2 linked regions of the Kluyveromyces lactis genome follow. The protein of the gene in region 1 interacts with the protein of each later gene in a pairwise test. Links are inferred from orthologs where the notes say so. Each region holds a gene or a part of one and is shown in the gene's direction. Other genes may lie near its edges.

Region 1 (4,452 bases):
ATCGAACAGGAACTACCAATTAGCATAGACGTGCCTTCATCTGAGACGGATGTACCGTCTCAGATAGCCGATTCATGCGATAGCGGGTCTATCATTAGCTTTGAAGAGCTGAGTTTCATGATTCAAGACAAGAACAAGGCAGACGTCGATTACGATATACCATGCTATTTACCACCAGATTCCAAGACTTTACCCACTGGTGAGAAAACGAAAAGGGAATATTCCAGGGCAAACATAAACGATCAACTGATAAACATATCACAAACGTCTTACGATGTAGTGTCCTCCATCGTATCTCCAATGAAGGCCCAAAGAACCGGGACTATTCAGGTGCCCGCAACGAGAACTACTACCTTTCAAGACCAACAACAACAGAATCAGCAACAAGCTTCAAAACCTGCTAATGTCGTCAAGATATATGTTGATAGCAATAGGGACTCTAATGACGTTTTCGCCAGTGTTAAGGGGGAGGTAGATACGCAAGAGCAAGAAAGTTTGTCTACTTTAACTACTTCTATGTTGCATGATGATAATAACGAAATTGTTATAGATAGCGAAGATGAAAGAGGTAGCTATTCCATTATGGAGGTTCATGATGCTCCTCAAACTCATCTTGGCCAGTTCCCCTCTCTACGGAAATCTCAATCTCAAAAATTGAAAACCCCAGTTTCAGCCACAGATTCTCTAGATTCACAACTTCAGCCTGCCCTACTCACAACACAAAATGCATCTCCGAACACCGCGAAGCTACGAAGGTCTTTCAAGGTGATCGGATTAAAACCTTGTAAGAACAAAGTTCAGATGTTGCAAGTATGGGAGACATTGGAATCCAAATTCCCGGGGTCCTCAGATGAGGATAGATCAATTCAACTCAAGCAATTCCTCACGGACCTTATAGTACAAAATCGTGATGAATCTGCATTATTAATGGAACAAATATACACTTTTGAGCCTATTCGTTACGAACAGTTGAAAGAATGGCTAGTATCCTTGAACTCATTCACTGAACTAATCGACGATAGTTTTATCAAAAATTGGGCAGATTTAAACGGGATTGTATTCAGAAATGATACTGAGAACCCCTTGTTGTCACAAAGCCAATCTCAATCTCAATCACGGTTGCTCTCACAATCATTATCCCAACTGCAGTCGCCATCATTGTCTCCATAGTATGTTAGCATCCATGTGTATAATTATCAGCATTTTTTTTTCAATAGAAGCCCAAATACATGGCGTCAAAGGAACATAATAGACTCTCAATGAATACATTGGTCTGACTGCCTATTCAAAACATATACCGAATGTGAGCAAGGCTCTATCAAAGCAAGACAAGGCGAGTCAATAGCTGCATTGTTTATTGAGAAATCCGGGTAACGTTATGCAGTCAAAACAGCTCATCAAAAATTGTCAGTTTCTTTCAGATCGAACGATTCTATAAACAAAACAAACAAAACATAATCGAAAAGGAAATTGGAATCTACGCTCAGTAATCTTTGAAGCATATAGCACTGAAGTCCTTAAACTTTAGCACTGTCCTTCGGTTTTTATTCAGAACGGCAACAATTGAGTGATTTCGGGCAATTTGGAGAAGTGCGCCCCAGAAGCGACAGTAAAATCCCAGGAAATATGTCAGGAAAGGGATCTTCGCAGTCTGATAAACGGTCCAGCCGAGATGAATTGAAGTTTAAATTGAACAGGTTGCAGGAACAACAAAAACATCAAGAAGCTCTTTCTCATGTTAATTCTGAGGACCCCAGTTTACCATTTTCCAATGTCTTGAGTAAGAGAGATAATAGGGCTTCGTTACCTGTTTTTGCAGGAAGCTCTGCTCATGCAGGTGTCATAAATGCCAATTCAGGCGAGGATGTGAACTTTGTTGTTGGTTTAAGCGAGAACTTACTCGTCGAATGCAGACGCTTACAAGCACAGAACGAACGTAAGTCCGCCAAATTATCCTCTTTGCAGGCCGACTATGAAAAGTTGAAAATAAATCTTGAGCGGTTAACAGTGAAGCATGAATCTATGACCAAAAATGAGGATTCTTTAAAGGACACTAATTGGCGACAAGAAATGAAATTGCAAAGTTTATCTAAGGAGTTCCAAGAGTTGACTGAAAACTTCAATAAAAATAAAAGTGAACTTGAAAGGCAGATTGAGCTTTCTAAGGATATGAAAACTGAACTGGAGGAAAGTTCTTTGGAACGTATGGGATTAAAGTCCGAATTGGCTTCTAGTAAAAAAGTTCATTCGAATGAAATTAAGGAGCTGAAAAGACATGTGGAAGAGTTGAACAATGAGAATGATCAGCTGCATAATAAAGTTAACATGTTGAGTGAGAAGGTCACTTCATTAACAAAAGAAATAGAAGAGAGGAAAGGCACCTCTGCACAGGGCAAAGACGATACTGCGATTGCTACATCAGAACAAAAACCATCACCTGCCGTAAAACTGATCGGAGGAGGTATGGAGGGTTCCGATGATAGTTCCTTGAAGAAACCGATTGATTCAAATCTAGAAAATCAGACCTTAAAAGCCAACTTAAATCATGCTAATCAGTTAATTGTAAGATTAAAGCAGAAGCTCAACAGAGTCAAGGCTGACAGCACCATGAACTCTCCATTACCTTCAAAGTCTCCCAGAGGTAAGAATAAAGGCGGTTTATCTTTTATAGGATCTGCTTCTACTCCTCAAAAGTCCAATACTTCCAGCTTCAATTACGAAGTTACAGATAATGAATCAGGTGACTGGAATGTAATACCATCGCCTGGCAAGTCAAGTAATGCTGATATCAGTGATATTGACGCTGAAAGTTTTGTTTCGGAAACTATGGACTATGTGAGAGACCCCATTTCGGAGGGCCCCTTTGAACATGATGAAGACTTTATTAATGAACTTGACTATGAAGATATAGAAAGATACGCAAAAACGCACAATTTCGCACTTGTCCCAATTACTGAACTAGATGAATTAAAAAAATCGAAAACTCCTAGCACAATCTCAGATGACACATTATCAAAGCATATTCTTTCCAGACTTTCTACGCTAGGGTATTTTGATACTTCTAGTTTAACAAATAATGAGAAAGTGGATATAGAAGAGATTTTTAAGCATCCCACTGAGGATTATCTAGTTTCGAATCTGAAGAGGCTCAACCTCACTGCTATCAAAGAAGAAGAGTACCAATCATTGAATGATCCATCGATGGAAACTTTGAAAAAATCATTAGAAAGTAAAGACTACACTGCGTTAAGTAAAAAGGACTATGAGAATTTGCTTCATGCTTCCGAAAGTCCGTCCCTGTCATATCTCGAGAGTAAGGCTCACAAGCTTCAAAAAACCATTATCGACATTGATGAGTATGAAAATTTGAGGAAACCGGATGTTGAGGCATTAACAAACCATGCCCAGTCCAGAGGACTTCAGGTATTGAAACAGTCACAATTGACTGATATAAAAGCTAAATTGGAAAGCCCGTCTGAAGAATATTTGCAGGCCAAAGCAGATGCAAAAGGATTAACTGTACTAACGAAGAGTAAATTGTCCCAACTCACTGAACCAAGTATCGAAGACGTCCAACAGTTAGCTACCACTCACGACCATATTTTAATATCTAACAAAGATTACCATGAGCTACTGAATCCTTCTATCGATAAAGTGGAAAAAATTGCTGCAAATCACAAACTCTCGGTAATACCTGATAAGGATCTAATTGATCTGAAATGCAAAGCTGAAAGTCCAGATATTAATAGGTTGAAAGAATGTGCTAAGTCAAAAGATCATGTTCTTCTTCCAAATGAGGAGCACACCAGACTAATGCATGGAAACACTCATCCTTCAATTGAAGCTATTCAATCATCGCTTTCTAGTGACGATATGGAGTCTTTATTGCTGTGGTTGGCGGAAAGAAAGTCCATAACACCTATACGCACCACTGAGTATCACAAATTAACAGAACTAGCTAATACTCCTCCACTGGATCATCTAAAGAAAGCTGCCAAAGCTTTAGATTACACCTTGCTCAGTCAAGCTGAAATAGAGAACCTAAGAAACTTAGCTCAAAATCCTCCCTTTGAACACCTGAAAGATAAACTACTAGCTCTCAATTATACTATTATCAAACAGGAGGACCTTCATAAGTTGAAGGAACAGCTAGAATCTCCAACTTTGAACTTTTTATCGGAAAAGGCAGCAGAGAAAAACTATGATATAATCCTAAAGACTGACCACTCAGAGCTTTTGAGAAAGTCATCAGACCCGACCATCCAAGAAATGCAGCACTTGGCAGCTGTAACTGGCCACTTGATTGTATCGCAGAGTGACTACGATTATTTGAATAAGACCGTAAATGAACCATCAAGAAACTTCATCATTGAAAAGGCAAAGGATATCGGTATGGTTACTATCGAACAGAAAGAGTATGAAAAGTTAGTTCATAAGGGCAGTGATAAAACA
Region 2 (4,449 bases), on another chromosome or scaffold:
AGCCTAAATAGAGTTACAACTCAATTTAGGATCAGAAGAAGCGAGCGCACATGAAATTCCTACTTAACAAATCTACTTTTTGTCTCCACAAACAGTAAAAAGGGGATTAATTAGCTCTAAAGAGAGGTAATCCAAAAATTGAGAATCGAGATGATGATTTTAATTCCCAGATTAACTCAATTTATGTACATGACTATGGCTTGTCCTGTGTGAACCTACTTGCATTTATGAGTTGAAAGGTTTACCAAAGCTATTACTCTTTATATAACTTCTTACTGACAAGCTGAAAAGGAAAATGCGTACGTAAAAGCTACTTCTATGAATTCCCGAGGTGCTGGAGGGTCTTGCACCCAAAGCATTACCCTACAAGCATCCCACATGACCTACCCTTGTTGATTTGCTTTTGCCTAATGAGGAAATAATGTTGTTTTTGACAGTGGAGTCGTTTCTTTCTTATCTTGTTTACATCCGTGGAAAGTGATTTCAGTTTTTATTTGAATAGAAGCCTTTCGTTTCAACAACGAAAAAGGCAAACAAATGGGGAATTTAGGACGAGACCCAGGATTAGGCTAAGTAAACAATGTCATTTACAAATAATTTTCTGAGACAAACACACAATCAAAGTTGTGAAGTTGTACCATTGAAGAAATAATACCTTATTTGTTTTTGGCTAGTTCTCATCTATATGAATTTTTTTTCGTGCGGGAGTAGTTATTCAAAAGAATTAACCTTTTGGTCCATGAAAAAGACAATGCCAATTTGTATTGATTCATTACCATTTTGTTTTTTTTTAATTTTTGGTAGGTTTAGTTGAAAAGTAATAATTATATGTAAAATCTTAGCACTCCATCATTTTGATATCTTTAGAAGCAGACCTGTAGCGTCCTTGATTTTCGATTGATCTTAATCCTTTTTTGATAACTCTACTGGTTAGTCGAACAAGTTAGTGTGCTGGTCAATTACTGTTCACTGTTTAAAAGAGTCACAACAAATATTTGGTCTAATATACTGATTTCGAATTTTCCAATTAGGCTTTAATTGATCTCATTTAACAGATACGAGAGAAGCAATCAAAAAAGGCCTTTATTCGTGCAGCTTTTCCTCTTCCCTTAAATCTGGTTAGTGCATGGTAACAAATAGTGTATCAATTGTTTTTATCATATTGCTTTAATTCCTGCCTGTAAGATATCAGTTAAGTGTTCCTTGGAGGATTCTCTTCATTGATTTAGTTTTTTGGTACTTGACTCTCCTAATAACGTCATTCATTCTGTCTTACCATTAACATTGTTCTTTGCTGTTTGATTTTGCACAACTTGATCTAATCTCTCATTAAAACCAACTTCCGTCATTCCTTCTATTTTTGAAATACATCAAAGTCTTCACTGATCCAAACAATGTTCTCAATAAATCCCCTGATATATGTGTTGCTCGTCCTGGCTGGAATGGTAAGAGGCAGTCAGCTGTCAAACATTGAAAAGTTGTTGAATATCTCACGTTATGAGGCACCCAATTGGGATTCCCCTGATTTGACGTACATGAATAATTTTGAGGAACTGACAGTGATATCCTATACAGGCCAACAAAATTTCACTGTTCAAGCCAATGAGTCGTCATTATTATACTATAGCAATGATACATTTGTTAAATTGTTTGAAACATCGCCAGAGACCACTGTAACCATGATTGTTCCTTTGTTTGAGGATTCATTCATTTTGTCGGGAACAGGTCAAATTAATGGAGTTGCTTTGGAACAGCAAATATTATTAAATTTAACCAGCTTGACCACATCACCAATATTCCCTAGTGCAGTCGAGAATGTAATGGACATTCTGACCGTCAATGAAACTGTCATATTTGTTGGTAACTTTTCTATGTCAGTCTCCAACGAGACAGGACATGGGGCTGTATTATGGGATGTTGTCGCAAACACCACTGAATTATTTCCTTTCAAAGGATTTGGTGAAAATTCAATCGTTAATTCAGTCGTGAAATTAAACTCCGATAATATATTGTTCGCTGGTAGTTTCCAAGAGATTCAAAACGCATCGCTTTTACAAGAGTTTGGCAATGCGACCAATTCATCTCATGAAGATTTGACGTCCCTACAATTCGATCAATCAGTACCTTTGAAACTTTCATCTATCACCGGAGAAAATGTTCAATCAGATATTCTTCTGTGTCCCTCTGGTGGGCAAAATGGTTGGTCTGCATCTGAAGCCGTTCAATCCACTTTGCAATTCGATTTGAAAAATGAGATCCACCCATCCAAGGTAAGAATATATAATTCTGTGGAAGAAAATTCTGAAATTTCCCTGTTCAGAATTATTACCGGTCCTTCCAATGGTATCATGAATTTGACGTATTTGGATCCTGCATCAGGAGAGCTGAAACAGTGCGATGCATGGTGTCCATTACTATCGATAGAAGATTTGACACAGATAAGCCAAAACTCCACTGCAGCTCCAAAGTCAGTGGGCATCAATAACAATAGTACCAATTTGAAATGGTCAGAATCCTATCAGGAGTTTGCTTTTGTTAATGACATACCTGTTACCATGTTACAGTTTGTAGCTCTAGCGTCCTATGGAAGTAATGCCGCGTTGCATTCTATTGAGATATTCGAAACGGAATTTATGGTGTACGCCAATAATAGTTATAATGAACCAAACTGCGAATCAGTTACGGAATATTCAAAGGCAGAGCTATCCTCTGATAACTGGTACACCACTGACGAATCTGATACCTATATATCAACTAACATCGACGATAATATCCCTTATGTCACCTTCCACCCCAACATTACTTATCCAGGAAGATACACTTTCAATATCTACACACCAGGCTGTCTACAAGACAATTCTTGCTCTAAAAGAGGTATCGTAAATGTCACTATGATTGATCGTTCTATAAATGAAGTGCTGGCCAGTGTATTGATTTATCAGACCAACAATGAGGATAAATTCGACCCTCTGTATACAGGTTCATTAGGAAGCGCACCGGAAATAATTGTAACCTGGGATAAAGCGATTGGTGAAAGCGATTCAGTCATGGTGGTTGACCGCTTGGGTGTTATTACTGAGTATATTGACACCATAAGTATCAGCAGCAATGATACAACCTTTCATCTCAACGGTTTGTTCCAATACAACACTGCAAATGTGACAGCATCAATTTTCAGCACGAATGATACATTTAATGATTATGCTCTTTATAATTTCCCGCTCGATGCCAATCTTTATGCTGCCTCCTTGAATAACGATATTTTGATCGGAGGCAATTTCAATGGGATTGCTAAAGTGGAACTCAACGATGAAGCATTGATTTCTTCCTCTCAAAAACTAGGAACGTCTGGATATACTACTGGTATCTTTGAGTACTCAAATGGTTTATTATTATCGGGTACCTACCAAGTAGAGAATGACAGTCGGCATGAAATTTTGAGCTATGATGGTAATGCCTTCAATAGCTTTGGCCAATTAGATGAGCCCATCGACAGGATCGTGAACTTTACCATTGATGGGCATGAGCTTTTGCTCTTCGACAACGCCTATATTTTCAACGTGTCTGCAAATATGTATGTTTCCAACTCCTCCACGTTTGAAATAACTGGACAGTCGGCTGGGATTAATTCTGGTAACGACTCTTTATTATTTGGCTCCTTTTTGAAAAGGTCTGTCGGTGAACTCAATGGACTGGCATCCCTGTCATCTGATGGACAAGTATCATCACCTACTTTACCTGAGCTACCAACAGATGTTCAACCTTACAAGGCGGCGTATATTAATGATACTTCAGCTGCTTATGCCTTACAAGAAGGCTCAACTGACAATGTTCAACATAGGGTATTAATTACCAACACAAATTCCTCCTCGCATATGCTACAGATTCAATGGTCTGCTCCAATTAACGCCTTTTTATATGATAATGTACCGAATATTTTGGCTATTGGTACCAATGGAAGCAATTCTTCAAGCCAATATGATGTTCAATTTAGCATACTGAACTTGACCGGTTACGAAAACGTTGCTCGAGTTAACTTTTCAACCAATGAACGTGTAAATTCTATGGTTTCTTTTAGTTCTAATAATAGTATTCTAGTCGGTGGATCATACGAGATAGACAATTGCAATGACTTGTGTCTATATAACTACCAAACTAAAGAATGGACTAGCTTCTTAAATGATTCAATCACTGGCGATATAAGACAAATGCAGTTTGCGGACGAAGGGAAAACCCTTCTAGTTGGTGGTTTAATTAAGACTAACAACGAGTCTAATATACAACTTCTTTCTGTGGAAGTGGGTAGCAACATATTTTCGACGGTAAAATCTGGTACGGAACCTCTACTGTCATTTGTTCCTATCGATGATTCTACCGACAATATCATTGCTCAAATGAATAGTGAAATACTCCGATTAGAAAGTGGGACCTGGAGTTCATTTGGGCCCC

Evidence for each region.
Region 2: the proteins of NUM1 (region 1) and RAX2 interact in a protein complementation assay, tested with the Saccharomyces cerevisiae proteins (2 studies listed by BioGRID). The link is inferred for Kluyveromyces lactis from reciprocal best matches to the Saccharomyces cerevisiae genes NUM1 and RAX2.

The regions. Positions count from the first base shown.
Region 1 is NC_006040.1:1,398,287-1,402,738, forward strand, and holds the start of NUM1 (Num1p), read left to right. Parts: upstream 1-1,626; coding exon 1,627-4,452. Other genes in the region: SLX4 (Slx4p), read left to right, coding at 1-1,170. UniProt on the Saccharomyces cerevisiae protein: Controls nuclear migration. NUM1 specifically controls the interaction of the bud neck cytoskeleton with the pre-divisional G2 nucleus. Functions in dynein-anchoring.
Region 2 is NC_006042.1:1,740,091-1,744,539, reverse strand, and holds the start of RAX2 (Rax2p), read left to right. Parts: upstream 1-1,394; coding exon 1,395-4,449. UniProt on the Saccharomyces cerevisiae protein: Required for the maintenance of the bipolar budding pattern. Involved in selecting bud sites at both the distal and proximal poles of daughter cells as well as near previously used division sites on mother cells.